Linked DNA regions of Mus musculus: regions 1, 2, 3 and 4 are each reported to be linked to region 5. The links are microRNA targets in miRTarBase. Many come from high-throughput screens and were not tested one by one. Region 5 holds a microRNA gene; each other region holds the end of a gene's coding sequence.

Region 1 (3,565 bases), not on the chromosome of region 5:
CCAGGGTAACAAGAATGCAGAGGAGGAGGAGGGCGAGGAAGAGGAAGAGGAAGAAAGGGGACAAAAAACGGATATAATAATTTAAACACCAAAATATTCAGAGTTGTCTCTGAGGATAAAATCACACGTGGTTTCCAGAACAATTTTACAGAATTTTCCTAATGCTTGTTACTGAATATGATTTATGTTCACAAGAGAAGAAATGAATTTTACATAAGTATTTTATGAAGTATGAAGTTAGTTCTTAAAAAATAATTTTTAAAGTTTTAAAATTAATTAATTAATTAATTGATTAATTTTGATTTACAGAAATGCCCTTCCTGTGATTCGTATGAGAAAAGGACACCCAAAGAATTCCTAGAAAGACTAAAATGGCTCCTTCAAAAGGTATGCACCTTAAATGCATTTCTTTCACTTCCATGTTGTGTCCGGGTACCTCCTGTGCCCAGTGACTCATAGGCTCTCGTTCCCACAGATGATTCATCAGCATCTCTCCTAGAACACATAGGACCCGAAGATTCCTGAGGATCCGAGAAGATTCCCGAGGACTGAGGAGACGCCGGACACTATAGACGCTCACGAATGCAGGAGTACATCTTGCCTCTTGGGATTGCAAGTGGAGAAGTACGATACGTTATGATAAGAACAACTCAGAAAAGCTATAGGTTAAGATCCTTTCGCCCATTAACTAAGCAGACATTGTGGTTCCCTGCACAGACTCCATGCTGTCAACATGGAAAATCTCAACTCAACAAGAGCCCAGCTTCCCGTGTCAGGGATTTCTGGTGCTTCTCAAGCTGTGGCTTCATCTTATTGCCCAACTGTGACATTCTTTGATTGGAAGGGGAAAACTAAAGCTTTTAGCAAAAATACAGCTAGGGAATTTGTCGATCTGCGAGAGTAAGACCTCTTATGATCCTAACGGAATGATGTAAGCTGGAAATAATAAGCATAAGATGAAATTGAAAATTGAAGTCTTTATTCTTTAAGAAAAACTTTGTACTTGAAAGCATGTCTGAAGAGTTTACTCATTACCACAAACATCTAGCATATTGATAACTAACATCTTTATACTCTACAAGAGAGGCTTTCCAGATAGGTACAGTTTTTCTTCTCTATTAGGTCTATCAAAATTTAACCTATTATGAGGGTCACCCCTGGCTTTCACTGTTTTTCTAAAGAGGCAAGGGTGTAGTAAGAAGCAGGCTTAAGTTGCCTTCCTCCCAATGTCAAGTTCCTTTATAAGCTAATAGTTTAATCTTGTGAAGATGGCAATGAAAGCCTGTGGAAGTGCAAACCTCACTATCTTCTGGAGCCAAGTAGAATTTTCAAGTTTGTAGCTCTCACCTCAAGTGGTTATGGGTGTCCTGTGATGAATCTGCTAGCTCCAGCCTCAGTCTCCTCTCCCACATCCTTTCCTTTCTTTCCTCTTTGAAACTTCTAAGAAAAAGCAATCCAAACAAGTTCAGCACTTAAGACACATTGCATGCACACTTTTGATAAGTTAAATCCAACCATCTATTTAAAATCAAAATCAGGAGATGAGCCAAGAGACCAGAGGTTCTGTTCCAGTTTTAAACAGACTTTTACTGAACATCCCAATCTTTTAACCACAGAGGCTAAATTGAGCAAATAGTTTTGCCATTTGATATAATTTCCAACAGTATGTTTCAATGTCAAGTTAAAAAGTCTACAAAGCTATTTTCCCTGGAGTGGTATCATCGCTTTGAGAATTTCTTATGGTTAAAATGGATCTGAGATCCAAGCATGGCCTGGGGGATGGTTTTGATCTAAGGAAAAAGGTGTCTGTACCTCACAGTGCCTTTAAAACAAGCAGAGATCCCGTGTACCGCCCTAAGATAGCACAGACTAGTGTTAACTGATTCCCAGAAAAGTGTCACAATCAGAACCAACGCATTCTCTTAAACTTTAAAAATATGTATTGCAAAGAACTTGTGTAACTGTAAATGTGTGACTGTTGATGACATTATACACACATAGCCCACGTAAGTGTCCAATGGTGCTAGCATTGGTTGCTGAGTTTGCTGCTCGAAAGCTGAAGCAGAGATGCAGTCCTTCACAAAGCAATGATGGACAGAGAGGGGAGTCTCCATGTTTTATTCTTTTGTTGTTTCTGGCTGTGTAACTGTTGACTTCTTGACATTGTGATTTTTATATTTAAGACAATGTATTTATTTTGGTGTGTTTATTGTTCTAGCCTTTTAAATCACTGACAATTTCTAATCAAGAAGTACAAATAATTCAATGCAGCACAGGCTAAGAGCTTGTATCGTTTGGAAAAGCCAGTGAAGGCTTCTCCACTAGCCATGGGAAAGCTACGCTTTAGAGTAAACTAGACAAAATTGCACAGCAGTCTTGAACCTCTCTGTGCTCAAGACTCAGCCAGTCCTTTGACATTATTGTTCACTGTGGGTGGGAACACATTGGACCTGACACACTGTTGTGTGTCCATGAAGGTTGCCACTGGTGTAAGCTTTTTTTGGTTTTCATTCTCTTATCTGTAGAACAAGAATGTGGGGCTTTCCTAAGTCTATTCTGTATTTTATTCTGAACTTCGTATGTCTGAGTTTTAATGTTTTGAGTACTCTTACAGGAACACCTGACCACACTTTTGAGTTAAATTTTATCCCAAGTGTGATATTTAGTTGTTCAAAAAGGGAAGGGATATACATACATACATACATACATACATACATATATATATATATATATACATATATATATATATATATATGTATATATATATATATATAGAGAGAGAGAGAGAGAGAGAGAGAGAAAGAGAGAGAGGTTGTTGTAGGTCATAGGAGTTCAGAGGAAATCAGTTATGGCCGTTAATACTGTAGCTGAAAGTGTTTTCTTTGTGAATAAATTCATAGCATTATTGATCTATGTTATTGCTCTGTTTTATTTACAGTCACACCTGAGAATTTAGTTTTAATATGAATGATGTACTTTATAACTTAATGATTATTTATTATGTATTTGGTTTTGAATGTTTGTGTTCATGGCTTCTTATTTAAGACCTGATCATATTAAATGCTACCCAGTCAGAACAACTGTCTGTTGTGATTCTCTGAATGTCCTTAATGCAACCAACCTGGTAGAAAAGGTGGGTGCATAGGTTTTATATGGCTACAGCACAGATGTTTACTTCTTATTGACTGCCACTAAGATAGAAGTATCCCGTGTTCTTGCTCAAAGACCCCACTCTCTTTGCAGACCACCCTCTGAATGCCTGGCAGGCTTGAAGTGGTTGAAACTTGCTTGTCTCACAAGTGTGTCCCATGTAGACTGCAGTTCTGGGTTCATGTCGCTCTCATCTGGCCATCTGTCTCTTATTCTCAATGTTTCTTGTCTGCGTCTGTGGGTTACCAGGCTGTGCTCATCAAGGACTTAGGTATGTTCCTTGCCAATCTCTGCTCCCCTCTCAGGTGACCTCAGTGGGGAGGATTCTCAGTGGGAAACTCCCAGAACCTTGACCATCTCCATGTGAGCACTTGTGTACTTTACCCACTGCCACTCTCATGGTCACAGCCCAGAC
Region 2 (3,565 bases), not on the chromosome of region 5:
AGTTTGCATTTGCTGTTTTGATAGCTGCTGCCAAATTGCCAAATTGGGACAAATGTCTCAAGTTATATCTCATCAGTATTTCCTACACCTTCCAGGTGCTTGTTAGATATAGTACTAACTCTTCTTGTTAGATGTAGTACCATACTCTTCTTAATTGTAATTTATAACTTTACAGAATGTTCATGAAGAAGTCTTACAGGAATATCAGAAGATCAAGCAGGTGAGTACCACGCCTTTGCCTTTCTGGCCTACAGTGAGAAGCAGGGTAAATTCTGTGACCTAATGCCTCACTATTTTCTTTGTCTACAGTCCAGTCCCAATTACCATGAAGAAAAATACAGATGTGAATATCTTCATAACAAGCTGGCTCACATCAAAAGACTAATAGGTGAATTTGACCAACAGCAAGCAGAGTCATGGCACTAAAGCTCTGCTTGGACCAGAAGATGTGAATAAACTAAAGCTTATTTATTTAAAATTCCAGATGAGTTGCTCTAGATTCTAAAAGATGAAACTTTGCTTGTTGGAAGTTTCAGTATTAGTAAACTTGAGTTACTTTTTTTCCTCTCTATTTTACTTTGCTGCCCTGAATTTTGAAGCTGCTTTTTTTCTGGTCCTCTCCCCAACCACCCACCCCCAACCCCCAACTTGTTTGTTAATAGAAGCAATTTTTAAGAGATTGGGGATCCAGTGTCTATACTTCAAATCAATTTTCCTTGATAACTTGTCTTTGTCATTAGCGATGATTTTTTTTTTTTTTAGATATCGGGGATGCAAAGTCCATACAGATGCAAAGAATTGCGTGTGTTTAAAACAAGACAAAACAGTAATGTGCAAGGTGAAAAGCTTTTGGATAAACAAAAGCCTATTTTCTGACCTTTCTTAATGTAAACTCTTTGCCTTAAATGGTAGAATATTTAGACATTTGCACAAAGTACAAAAAATCAAAACATTGTTTTTGGAGGGTTGAAAAATAGAAAGTGAATGTGTATAGTTTTCTATACACATACATACATACATACATACATACATACATACATACATACATACATGCATACATACATACATACATACATACATACATACATACATACGGGCTGTCTGGCTCTAGAGTGTTAAATCTGCCCTAAAAGTTAAACCCCCATTGCAATGGCTGCCTTAAGGTGTTTGCTAGTTGTGTACATCATGTGGTTAACCAGTAGCTACACTGCTTCCCAGTGATAACAGCCCCAGCCCGGGAAGCACACTGTGGCCTACCAGCATCAGAACCTGTGTGTTCTGCTTGTCTGTCTGCAGAGCTGCTGTGGATGTGAGCTGTGTGAAGGTTAAAAAGCTGCTACTCTCAGTAGGCCGGACACTCAGGTTAAAGAGCTGACGAGTGTTGCAGTAGCTTGTTGGTGTGTGTTTGCTTGGTTTTTGTTTGTTTCTGTCAAATTGCTACTTCTATTGTGGAAGACAAAAGCATTTCCATTTCAACAGTTTGTCAGCTTTATTAATGTTGGGCAAAAAATGATATGTTATGAAAATGAAACAGATCTTATAGTTTTGGGGCAAAATGACAAAAATAAATGTGTAGGTAACCTATTTATATACTGCTATAAAGTATTTTTTGAAGAAAGATATGCAAAGAAGCTATTACCTACATCAGATGTATATTTAAATTTTTTTTCATCCTGGATCCCAGGAATATAAAAAGAGTAGATATATTTAACCATAACATACTGTGACTCATCAAATAGCACAAACTTTCATTTCATGGAGTTTATCTGTTAACGTTGATTTAAACTATCACTTGTCTTATCATGTGGGAACATAAGTTATGTGGTCAAAATATAAAGATTTTGAACTAAAGTTGATTCAGGTTGTCTTGTATTGTCTCAAAGTGCTGCCAGTTGAAAAGGGAAGCATTATGTTTACAAATCTGTTTTGAAATGTTTGCCAAAATTTTGGTAGTATCTTTAATAAAGATGTTTGTCTTCAGCATCCAAAAATAAGTGAATAATTTTGACGTGTATCACTGTAAAGTAGAAAATGTTAGTACTGAGGCCTTGTGGCAGTATATGTTGATTAACTTTCTTGTGGAGTTTTCCTGAAATGTCAACTGGAAAGACTGGGTAATGGATCCAAAGCACAGAGGCAGCCAAGCACTGAAGCCAAGATTCCTCTGACGCTACAACTCTGGTATCACTGCACACATTCCATCTCTGCATGGCCTTCTGGAGACTTCCATTTCAGTTTTGAGATCCCTGGTGCTCTTTTACCTTGATAGTGCTACAGTCATTATTAAGTAGAAGTTTATCTCAATCTTTTGAGTTTAAAAAGAAGAAAAGAAGCTTAGTTATGGCTAAATTGGGGCCTCACATTATCATCGTAGATCTCTTGACATAATGACTTCAGGAGTACACTCTGAAGTGTTGGCCTTTCACTGAGATTGTTGCTGTTCTTTGCTATGGGCAATGTTTCTCAAAAGTAAGGGTGTTGAATGGCTTGCTTGCATTACCCACACTACAGTCTCTTGGGAGAGACCAGGCACCCACATTTTCACAAGGTCATTGCAGTGACAGTTGCAAGCTAATGTATAATTGGCTTAGATATAGCTCTAAATTTTAAGTCCCTAATCTTGAAACCTTGAATGTATATACTCCAGCTTTAGCAGATGCTCAATTTGAATTAGGCATGAGACCACCCCAGCTGAATCTGTACTTGAGTTTCTAATCATTTTCTGAGGAAACAAGGCAGAAAAAAAGTAAAGGCATCCATTGAGCCCTGGCATTGAAAACCTGCAACAGTTGATGCCAGCCGTGACTCTGGTGATCCTCAAAGATAAATGGAGGGTCCCAAAGTCGTCATTGTGTCAGCAACCCTTCTTAAAGCTATACCTCTTCATTGGGTAGGGGTTGAAGTTTCATTACATAAAGCTTTTGAGAATTCAATGAAAACTAGCCACCTAAATTAGGTAATTAAATATCTGTGCAACGCAGATAATGTGTGGAATCACTGCTTTTCACATGAGAGTAAGTCCATTTTGACTGACTGCAGAGGGGTAAGGCAGAGATAGGCTTCAGATTTCGAGGCGGAGTATTGGGGTTTATTGAGTGCCAGGCGTATGCATACCTGCTCTTCTGGTTTTGCTCCTCAGAGATTGCACTAGCAGGAGAGCAGTGGCTACAGGTGGCTCTGATACTTTACGATTGCGTAATTCTCAAATTGGGAATCAGAGACATGTCATTTTCAACTTCTGCCTGCCTGGTTCAACTGACCCACCAGGCTGGTTTTTCCTTCTGTGATTGGATATTAGTACAGCATGGGAACTTACAAGTAGACAGTAAGTACCCTTTTCAAGTCTATGAAACTCAGGAGGAAGCTTCCAGAAGGCGAGCCCACGTGACTAGCAGGCATGTTTGCCTTAGACAGCCTAGGGCTTCTTGCCTGCCCATCAGACTTGATGGTTTCCCATTGGGTTTTACAGCTGATTGTGGTGTTTTGTGCTCACCCTGCTCTGCCTAACTACTCTCACTTCCTGCTGTCCAGTACCAATGGTTCCTGCCATGTCAAGGCGCCCACG
Region 3 (3,565 bases), not on the chromosome of region 5:
GAGGGTCACTCGTGAGTTCACTAGCCTCAGCTAAATAGTGAGTGTGGGGGATGGGGGGGGGGAAGAGGCTGAGGTGACTTAACCCAAACTTGGCCAATTATAAGTCTCATCTGAGGCACTTGCTAGAAACATATAGACATCTCTTCCTTGGTGAGTTTGATCAGGTGAATCCTACCAATACTTAATAAATCAATGATATCAATAACTTGCAGTCACTGAATTAAGTTTCAGGTGCACACTATCAACTGGTGTTTTCTCTGCTAATAGTTGGCATGTAGTTTTGGGGTATTTGAGTTGGTCCCCTCAATGGAAATAGACTTGGAGTGTGTTCATAAAAGTGACAGGACACATATGTGACACTTGCAAATCATGAAGGCAGGCAGGCTAACTACTGCCTGGCAAGTATATTGATTTATAGCTGTTGACTGGTTAACACTCAATGAAACTGTCTGTGGAAGAAACATTACTCTCCATAACTGAGTAAACAAAAGGACTAATTTATTGTATAAGGTAAGCCAATACGTTCTCATGTACTATTGAGAGTAAACATACAGTGTACATAATAAACAGATTTAATATACTGAGAATAAATAGAATAAACATATCAGGGAATAATAAAGAGCAACCCATAGTTACAGCCACATGACTAGCAGTTAAAAAAAAAAGTCAATGGAGAAATTACTTTATTCACTTGGATCTATTCACTTGTTTTAGTGCCAAGGGCCCAAAGATGGGCAGGATATGGTCCTGATCATAGTACCAGATGCTTAGAAAGATCTTTCAATACCTAACCTAGATATTGACGAATCATGAGAAATAGCGGGGGTGGGAGGGTAACCTTTGAGGAAAGCGATCCTTACTCACATGCTGATTCCGTCATTTTACCATGAACTTTTTTGTTTTGTTTGCATTTATTGCTTTTTATAGTTAGAATAAATATGTGTGGTGTTGATTTGGTAAGATCAATATAAACTTTAGCTCTGAAAATAATTGAGATTATTTTCTTTTCTTATGGTTTTACCTACAGTAAAAGCACGTTTCTGTCATCGGAGGTAGCCCAAGCAACGCAATGCCAGCCGGACCGACTGAGATGTCGCCCCTGATTCCATTTGGTAGGTTTTGTTTTGCAGATTATCAGACATTTCCTCACCTCAAGTAAGTAAAAGGTTCAAGGAATCAAAAGTCACTTAGGGTGCACAGGGTGGTGAAGTGGCTACACTGAGGGGCTGCTTCTGTAGGTGGATGCTGTTGCTATGTGAGAAGGAGGGCTTGCTGGATGATAAACATCATGACATTCAGCTCCAACAGAACCTTTCACGCCTGCAGTATTTTAGTAGATTGGTCAGATTTTTATGAAGTACTTTGAGGTTGAACTTATTGGTAATGGCTGTGATCGACTGGCTTTCTGCAAATAATACTATTACTTTCTTCTAACGAAGTTTTAGATACAGAAGAAAATGTAGCTATTTAAACTAAGTAATCTGGACCATTTTTGTCCATATTTATGAACATTTTTCTTACATTACATTCTATAGCCATGAAGGCAGCTTGATATATCCTGATGCACAAGAACTGTATGTAGGTCGTGAAACAGAATAAACAACACGTTAAAATGAGTACAGGAACCACGGGGAAGGAACATGTATTTTCTGTGAAGACCCTTATATGAAATTCAGCAGCGCTCATGTCCACTGGGTAAATGTTACAGAAACTGTGGATGGTGGAACACCAGGGGAGGCAACTTCAGTCAGCTTTGCTTTATTAATTGGCATTTGAATGAAATATGACACTAATATCATACAGACTTCTGGTACGCTCTTCATAATTAGAACAGGACAAATGGTCGAATGCATGATCTCAATGCCTATCACTGAAATTTGCCCAAGTAAAAATAAACCCTTGCTACCTATGTAACTGCAGAGCATGAGATTCTTCTATCTTCCCACAGAGATGCATGGCTGGGAATACCTGGTACCTCTGAGGAATGTGCACATGCCAAGATTAGCATAAAGCCAAGCTATGCTGTGAAAATGTGTGTGTGTGTGTGTGTGTGTGTGTGTGTATGTGTAACAGATAAGGCCATTGATCCATTTTCTTTTGGGTCCTAAATAATATAGCATTTCAGAGTTCAGAGTCATTGCCTGGCTGATAAAGAATTAAACTCTAGAAAACCTAGGTTGCCTATCACTGAAGGACTGAAGCTAACTTGAACTTTCTCTTTGTTGAACAGAGGAAAATGGATACAAGTATAATGTTTTCAAATATACAACCCCTTTTGGTGATCTTTTCTTTTGTGAAGGGTTAGCTTTATAGAGGTACCAAAAATGTGATAGCTTCTTGATGACAGGAAATTATTTAAAAGGGAAAAGTTAAAACCAATATTAATAATGTTAAATGCATAGAAAATATTCTCCTACAGTAGATCATGAATGTGAGTATTTTGTTAGAAAATGAATTTTCTTTTACCCTGCTACATGGGCACATCAACAGCAAGGTCATGCTAGTCTTCCAAATAAGAGTGTGGTAACAGCTGGGTGGTGGTGGCGCACGCCTTTAATCCCAGCACTTGGGAGGCAGAGGCAGGTGGATTTTTGAGTTTGAGGCCAGCCTGGTCTACAGAGTGAGTTCCAGGACAGCCAGGGCTATACAGAGAAACCCTGTCTCAAAAAAAAAAATGATAGTACTAAGAGTGTGGTAACACAGATTACTCATTTTAGCTCCCATGCTTGACACTTCTCTCCAATGGCTTTACCTCTTAAGGCTGCTAGCATGATTTAATGTAGCCTACTTTTCGAGTGTGGACAGATCGTAGTAAATGAACCTATAACACACGTATCTCAGAAACTGTTAAACCAAAACAGGAAATAGAAATCTCAACTCTCCACACAGAAATCCGTCAAAGTTGGCAAAGGTGAAGACCGCTCAGGTGGGCCGACGGTAGGCATTGAAGTACTTGTGCTGTTGAGAGACAATCCTGTCACATGTCTGCACGGACAAACGAGGCAAACACTCCATCTTCCTGGGCCAAGAGGCTTTCCGGGGTGTCGTATTCCAAAATATTTCCTCTCTTCATCACAATAACCAGGTCTGCAGTCAGAATGGTGTGAACCCGATGCTGCGTGAACGTGAGAAACATCGACATTTGCTATGAATTTGAGCACAAGAGCCAAGACGGTGAATATGAATATCTCACAGACTGGTCATGCATGGTTGCTTCTTTTTACTTTGGGTGTACCAAGAAATACCCTTTCCTTGTATGAATTAATTAATTCATTTATATGCTTTTAAATGCCAGCCAGCATGGTGGGGTTTTGTTTGCTCTGTCTTAACTTCAGTGCAGCCATTACTCACTGTTGCACTGAAACTTGACAACTGTACACAGTAATAAATGTGCCTCAGTGAAATGCCAAAGGGAGCCCATATGAACCAGCTCGGTTCTATTTTATTCTTGATTATAGTTAGTTCATGTGTGAGCCCACTAAATACCTGGATTAACAAATAATAAAAAGGACCCTGAGAGACTCTGGTCTGGAAATCTGGAGAAGTCTATTCTGGCATTCAACAT
Region 4 (3,565 bases), not on the chromosome of region 5:
AGTTGAGGTGAAGAAATGCCCCCTATTCCTCCACATTAACCTGGAGGGCCATTCTCCCTCTTTCACAACAAGACCACCCTAATGGCTGTCCCATGCCTCTCTCCCCTTTGCATTTCCAAATGTTAACCGTTGTTTCTTTCATTTTTCCTCCAGTCCAGTTGAAACTGGTATGCCCCGCCTCAGTGAAAGCCAGGGGCTTCCTTAGGGTTTTCCTGTGCCAGTACAGTGCGGATCTATGGGCCATTGGTCTCAGCTTCTTCATCCAAGACGGTCCCTTCCTGGTTGTGCGCCTCGTCCTGATGATCTACTTTAAAGTGATCAACCACATGTTGGTGTTCTTTGCCGTGAAGAATTCCCTAGTGATGGCTCTGCACTTCTACCGACTTGTGGCTTTGATTATGGCCACGAGGGACTTCATGCGAGATCATCCAGAAAGCCCCAAACCGGAGCACAGTGGCCCAGACCAGCCCTCTGAGAGTGGTCCCAGTGAATGGGAGGATGCTTCCCCGGAGGCTCTGCCTTTGCGAACCTCACCTGTCACCTCCGAGGAGTCTTACCCGACGACACCTTAGTTATTGCTTCCAACATGAAGCTGCGAGGCTTAACTCGTTCCTTCTTACGCCCCCATGTTTGCATACACCAGTTTTTTAAGGAAACAATACAAAAAGATGATCTTGTATCAAAGCCAAGATAATTTTTTTTTTCATCTGAGTGGAAGGAACTTTGACGTCGAATGGCTGTCTCTACAACCTCCTGCTCTGGTAGCGGACATTACACCGCTCCGAGAACCATTCTAAATGATTGGTTTTTATGGAACTGCTTGAAAAGCTGTAGACAGAACGGCATAGCACACCCTTCAAAGATTTAAGGCAGACATTTACCACCCCCTTCCCTATTCCTTGCTCTCCTTGGGTGCCTAGTACTACAGCTTTTGACTGGCTGGACTACGTCACTCTCTCATCTGAGGTTTTTTGCAATGTCCCTCTGACATTAAAACAAAAAATGTATATTCAGTGAACGCTGAACAAAAGAGAGGAAAATGATTTTAAAATCAATTTGCTGGAAGTTGGGAGCTAGTACTGCCCTGCTTCCTCGGTGCAGAAAAATAGCTGAGGTAGCTGCACAGGCCTTTACAGGAATGCCCTTTTCCTAGACCAAGGTGACATTCCATGTGTTCTTAGAGCATCGTGATGGCTTTGGACTTGGGTAGCACAAAGTTTACAGCAAGCCACTTGGGTTCTAGCAACTTCATAGTGAGTGAGACAGCTGCAAGGCACACTTTCTACCTAATGCAATTTACGGGACCGTTGACATCTGAATACCTGATTACCTTTTTCTAAGTTGTCAAGGTGCATCATGGGATCAATTTCAAAGAGCACTAGCATGCAGTGATGAAGGAATTTGAGGCCCTTTAGTGTTACCATGGTTTCTGGTAGGGGCCAGCAGCCTCTGCAGGAGCAGCAACACTAACAGAGTTCGGCCTGAAGCCTGGGAAATACCACCAGCGGCCCCAGCCTGGTTTCAGGAACAAGTTGGTGGCAGTTGGTGCCAGTCTCATGCCTCCTGGGAATCATGGTGGCTTCATTTCCCATGAACGAAATAGTCGGTCTCTTCCACAGCTCTGTACATTCTGGGTGGAAATAACTCCAAACTTTTGAAAGTAGCTCTTGCTTTTAAATATAATTGTGACTTGGCAATTTTCGGAAGCGCTCTAAAACTGTAGTGTTAGAGTTCAAAGCATCAGCCAAGCTATGCTAGAATCCCCAGGAACCCAAAGATGTTTATTCAGGAAACTTCCTAAATTGGAGGCAACCATTAGACAATCAGTTGGGACAATTTTTTTTTTAAATCTATGAATTTCTGGTATGGTATTTATCCACTATGTTTGATAACAAGTATATAAACACATTCTATTTTATACAAAGCCACAACTGTTTTTCTAGTAATTTCTCCTTCTTTTATCCCTTGGGCTTTTTGTTTTTAACAGTGTCATGGTTGTAAACGGTTCACGAAATGAATGGAATGCATTGGTAATTTTTCATAATAAGTGTATGCAAGTTAAGGTCAAATTTTAAAGGTGTGTTATTCAAAGTTCTTATCAATGAGATTTGGGAGCTTGGTTAAAAGCATGTATTGCTCTTGCAGAGGATCAGGATTTATCCCAAAATCTACTCAGTAGGTCTTATATCCACTTGTAACTCCAGCTTTTGAGGGGTCTACTTCTAGCCTCTGTGAGAACTGACTGCATTCGTGTGTACACATACACACACATGCAGATTTATTAAAAATAATGAAAATATTTTACAATAAAAACGTCAGCAATGGGAAGAAAAACAGAAAAAAAAAAACAATACTATTTCTCAAACTGCCCCAGTCTCCACTAAGTGTGCTGGATGCTTTGTGCTGAATACATGACATATATGTGTCCCAATGACAGGTATGTGCCCCATAACAAACATGTGTCCTCATGACATATATGTGCCCCTTTGACATATATGTGCCCCTATGACATATATGTACCCCTATGATATACATGTGCCCCTATGACACACATGCACCCCATGATATATATATATACATGTGCCAATGACATATATGTGCCCCCATGACATATATGTGCCCCCATGACATGTATGTGCCCCTATGACTTACATGTGCCCCCATGACATGTATGTGCCCCTATGACATATATGTGCCCCCATGACATATATGTGCCCCTATGATGTATATGAGCCACTCCTTACTGCCTAATTGCTCACAGCATATTTTTGTGATTATTTTTCCTCAATAACAAACACTGAACCTCCAAAAATAAACCATCACATAGTATGACTGTTGGAGGGATAATTTTAAGTGCTTTTGAATCTAAGGCTTGGCGTGGTTTCGTGAAAGACTTTCTTGTGTTTCAATAAAGTATTTGGACAGCCCTCCTCCTCAGGCCTGTCCAAAATCTGGCTTAATTTGGAATGCCAGGAAGTCAGAGAGCACCCAGGACCAGCTTGGTAATTAATGGATGGTCAAAAATAGACACACAGTCTTCAAGGCTTTTCCAGGAAAATCTGCTAAAGACAGCATTTAACTTAACTGCCAGTGTTTCCATTTCCTTATGCTGGCTGCTTTGATCATAGGAAAAATGTCTGTTTGCTTAGTCTAGGTTTTATCTCTGATGAAACGCTAAAAATATACTCAGTTGTATGTTTATAATTATTAATATTATTTTACCCCTTAAAACTGTATGTTTTTACTGTAGGCTCATGCACATTGTGATGTTTTTAGATATCCAAGTGTTTGTCATAAACGGAACAGAATATCAGTCATCTCTTTTACGTCGGAGTCTTGAGACTTGTTTACATTTTATTTGTAGTGAGACAGCTTAATCACGTAGACTCCATTCTAGCCACAGTACACGTGAAGCCCCACCCCCTACCCCTGAGGAGGGGACTTCACTTACAATTGCTGAAGCTGTTGCTGATTCATTAAGTTCAACCAGCTATTCTTTCTGCAAGCATATTCACCCACTAGTGAGAAAACCCCGTGACCATGTTTACATGATGCTGTGTGGACA
Region 5 (3,358 bases):
ATATTCATATACACACATGTACATGTACGCACACACAAACACACATGCACATACACAGGAGCCATCACATGAATGCCAGGCTGATCTCCAACTCATCATGCAACCAACATGAATTTACACTCTTGATCATCCTGAATCTGGCAAGGGTCTTTACCTTGTGAGTGAGAGCATTCATTGGCCCAGCACGGCATACTCTCTAAAACTCACATGTCACATGTCACATGTCACTCAAAATGATCTATGGGTGCCATTTCTGTGTGTGTGTATATCTGTGCATGCTTGTATATGTTTGTGTGGATGTATATGTATATTCATATACACACATGCACATGCACACAAAACTATACACACATGCAAATATATTGTGGGGAACCCCATAAAATCAGGCTGATCTCTACTCTCTTTTGAATTTATTTATGAATATGAATTCCTGACCCCTCTGAATATGGCAAGCTTTTACATAGTGAGAAAAACTTTCATTTGACCAGTACTACATAACCTTTAAAGCTCAAAATCACATATCATTCAAACATATCAATGAATTCCATTCCTTGTGTGTATGTGTGCATACGTGTGTCCATATACATGTATGTTTATGTTATATATATATATATATATATATATATATATATATATATATGTATATATATATATATATATATATATTCATTTACACAGATGTACACGCACACACATGTAAACACACATGCACATACATGGGTGGCATCACAGGAATACCAGGATAATCTCTAACTGAAGTTAATCATGAATTTGAAATCCTGATTCTCCAGACTTTGTCAATCATTTACAGCTGGTGACTGAGACCATTCACTGTCCCACTACTGCAGTCTCTAAAACTCTAAGTCACCTATCATTCAAATGGATCGATGAGTGCCATTCCTGTGTGTGTATCTGTGCTTGCTTGTATATGTTTGTGTGGATGTATATGTCTATTCATATACACACATGCACATGCACACAAAACTATACACACATGCACATACATTGGGGAGGATCCCATGAAGCCAGGCTGATCTGTACACCATTTTGAAGTTACTCATGAATTTGAACTCCTGATCCATCTGAATATGAAAAACATTTTACTGGTAAGTAAGAAGTTTCATTGGCCAAGTACTACATAATTGCTAAAGCTCTAAGTCACATATCTTTCAAACATATAAATGAATGCAATTTTTTCTCTGTGTGTGTGTGTGTGTGCTTGCATATACACATGTGTTTATGTTATGTATATTCATGTCAACACATGCACATGCACATACAAGTAAACACACATGCACATACATGGGTGGCATCACATGAATACCAGGATGATCTCTAACTGAATTAAGCATGAATTTGAAATCTTTATCCTCCTGACTTTGTCAATCTTTTACACCTGGTGGGTGAGACCATTCAATGTCCCCTATTGCATAATCTCTAAAACTCTACATGACTTATCATTCAAAGGGATTGGCGAATGCCATTCCTGTATCTGTGTATGTGTGCTTGCGTTTATACGTGTGTGTGTATGTTATGTATATTCAAATATAGACATGAACATGCACACACAACTATACACACATGCACATACATGGAGGAATCACATAAATCACAGGCTGATCTCTAAATTCTCATGAGGATAAGTATGAATTTGAACTCCTGATACTCTTAACTCTAGTAAGCATTTTCACTCTAAGTCACTTATCATTCAAATGGATTGATGAGTGCCATCCCTGTGTGTGTGTGTGCGTGCGTATCTATGTGTGCGTGTATGTATATGTATATTCATATACACACATGTACATGTACGCACACACAAACACACATGCACATACACAGGGGCCATCACATGAATGACAGGCTGATCTCTACCTCATCACGCAGTTAACATGAATTTGCACTCCTGATCACCCTGACTCTGGCAAGGGGCGTCACATGGTGAGTGTGACCTCTCCCTGGCCCAGTCATACAGAATCTCTAAGACTCTAAGACACATATCATTCAATAGAACAATGAGTATCCATTTTCTGTGTGTTTGTATGCATGTTTGTATGGGTATGTGTGTATGTATATGTATATTCATATACACATGTTCATGCACACATACATATACACACAAGCAAATAGATTGGGGGCATCACATGAATCCGAAGTTGATCCCAGACTCATCATGAAGTTGAGAATGAATTTTGACTGCTCATCCTCCTGACTCTGGCAAGCATTTTTACCTTTTGACTAAGAGCACTCACTGGCCCAGCACAGCATAATTTCTAAAACTCTAAGTCACCTGTCATTCAAAATGATTGATGGGTGTGTGTGTGTGTGTCTGTGTATCTGTGCTACTTCTATATGTTTGTATGGATGTATATGTATATGCATATGCACACATGCACATGCACATAAACTATACACACATAAACATACATTGGGGGGAACCCCGTGAAGTCAGGCTGATCTCTATGTCATTTTGAAATTACTCATGAATTTGGACCCCTGATCCATCTGAATATAACAAACATTTTTACTGGTAAGTAAGACGTTTCATTGGCCCAGTAATACATACTCTTAAAGCTCTAAGTCATATATCATTCAAACGTAACGACGAATGCAATTTCTTCTGTGTGTGTGTGCCTGCATATACACGTGTGTTTATGTTATGTATATTCATATCAACACATGCACATGCACATACAAGTAAGCACACATGCACATACATGGGTAGCATCACAGAAATACCAGGATGATCTCCAACTGAAATTAAGCATGGATTTGAACTCCTGATCCTCCTGACTCTGTGGTTTACACCTGGTGATTGAGACCATTCACTGTCCCACTACTGCATAATCTCTAAAACTCTAAGTCACCTATCATTCAGATGGATCGATGAGTGTCATTCCTGTGTCTCTGTGTGTGTGTGTGCTTGTGTTTATATGTATGTGCATGTTATGTCTATTCATATACACACATGCACATGTACACAAAACTATACACCCATGCACATACATGGGTGGCAATCACATGAATCACAGGCAGATATCTATATCCTCCTGAAGATAAGCATGAATTTGAACTCCTGATACTCCTGATTCTAGCAAGCATTTTTACCTAGAAAATGACAGCACTCACTGGCCCAGTACTGAATAATTTCTAATATTCTAGGTGGCATATCATATAAATGGATCTATGAATGTTATTCGTGTGTGTGTGTGTGTGTGTGTGTGTGTGTGTGTGTGTGTGTGTGTGCACGCTAGGGTTTATATGTCTATGTATATGTTATGTATATCCATATAGACACATGAACATACACACACAACTATACAAACCTGCATGTACACTTAAGGCATCACATGAATCACAG

Evidence for each region. The annotated mature microRNA mmu-miR-297b-5p reads AUGUAUGUGUGCAUGAACAUGU and lies in region 5 at 2,088-2,109, opposite strand. An mRNA with a match to its seed (bases 2 to 7 or 8) in the 3' UTR can be bound and repressed. Matches are read on the target gene's strand: a 7mer-m8 pairs with bases 2 to 8, a 7mer-A1 pairs with bases 2 to 7 and ends in A, and an 8mer does both.
Region 1: the mRNA of Il21 is a reported target of mmu-miR-297b-5p. Seed matches in the 3' UTR shown: 7mer-m8 at 2,690-2,696, 7mer-m8 at 2,694-2,700, 7mer-m8 at 2,698-2,704, 7mer-m8 at 2,702-2,708, 7mer-m8 at 2,706-2,712 and 7mer-m8 at 2,710-2,716.
Region 2: the mRNA of Ell2 is a reported target of mmu-miR-297b-5p. Seed matches in the 3' UTR shown: 7mer-m8 at 1,005-1,011, 7mer-m8 at 1,009-1,015, 7mer-m8 at 1,013-1,019, 7mer-m8 at 1,017-1,023, 7mer-m8 at 1,021-1,027, 7mer-m8 at 1,025-1,031 and 13 more.
Region 3: the mRNA of Abcc9 is a reported target of mmu-miR-297b-5p. Seed matches in the 3' UTR shown: 7mer-m8 at 2,060-2,066 and 7mer-m8 at 1,574-1,580.
Region 4: the mRNA of Tmem26 is a reported target of mmu-miR-297b-5p. Seed matches in the 3' UTR shown: 7mer-m8 at 2,259-2,265.

The regions. Positions count from the first base shown.
Region 1 is chr3:37,222,271-37,225,835 of GRCm38, reverse strand. Il21 (interleukin 21) reads left to right here. Exons shown (of 5, transcript NM_021782.3): 4 at 310-387; 5 at 476-3,077. The coding sequence ends at 499. Gm36168 (a long non-coding RNA gene) reads right to left here and starts at 1,439. Exons shown (of 4, transcript XR_389693.2): 1 at 1,348-1,439; 2 at 396-603.
Region 2 is chr13:75,770,371-75,773,935 of GRCm38, forward strand. Ell2 (elongation factor for RNA polymerase II 2) reads left to right here. Exons shown (of 12, transcript NM_138953.2): 11 at 176-220; 12 at 310-1,991. The coding sequence ends at 426. Among named protein-coding and RNA genes, the nearest start is that of Ell2, 65 kb to the left of the region's middle.
Region 3 is chr6:142,587,389-142,590,953 of GRCm38, forward strand. Abcc9 (ATP-binding cassette, sub-family C (CFTR/MRP), member 9) reads right to left here. Exons shown (of 40, transcript NM_011511.2): 40 at 474-3,115. The coding sequence ends at 2,978. Among named protein-coding and RNA genes, the nearest start is that of Kcnj8, 18 kb to the left of the region's middle.
Region 4 is chr10:68,778,286-68,781,850 of GRCm38, forward strand. It overlaps Tmem26 (transmembrane protein 26), which reads left to right. Exons shown (of 6, transcript NM_177794.3): 6 at 154-3,565. The coding sequence ends at 572. Among named protein-coding and RNA genes, the nearest start is that of Gm32931, 43 kb to the right of the region's middle.
Region 5 is chr2:10,510,437-10,513,794 of GRCm38, reverse strand. It overlaps Mir297b (microRNA 297b), which reads right to left and starts at 2,128; the gene lies at 2,020-2,128. The region is part of intron 10 of Sfmbt2 (Scm-like with four mbt domains 2); the gene reads right to left. It overlaps Mir466d (microRNA 466d), which reads right to left and starts at 1,828; the gene lies at 1,733-1,828. It overlaps Mir669m-1 (microRNA 669m-1), which reads right to left and starts at 1,005; the gene lies at 908-1,005. It also overlaps Mir669m-2 and Mir466n.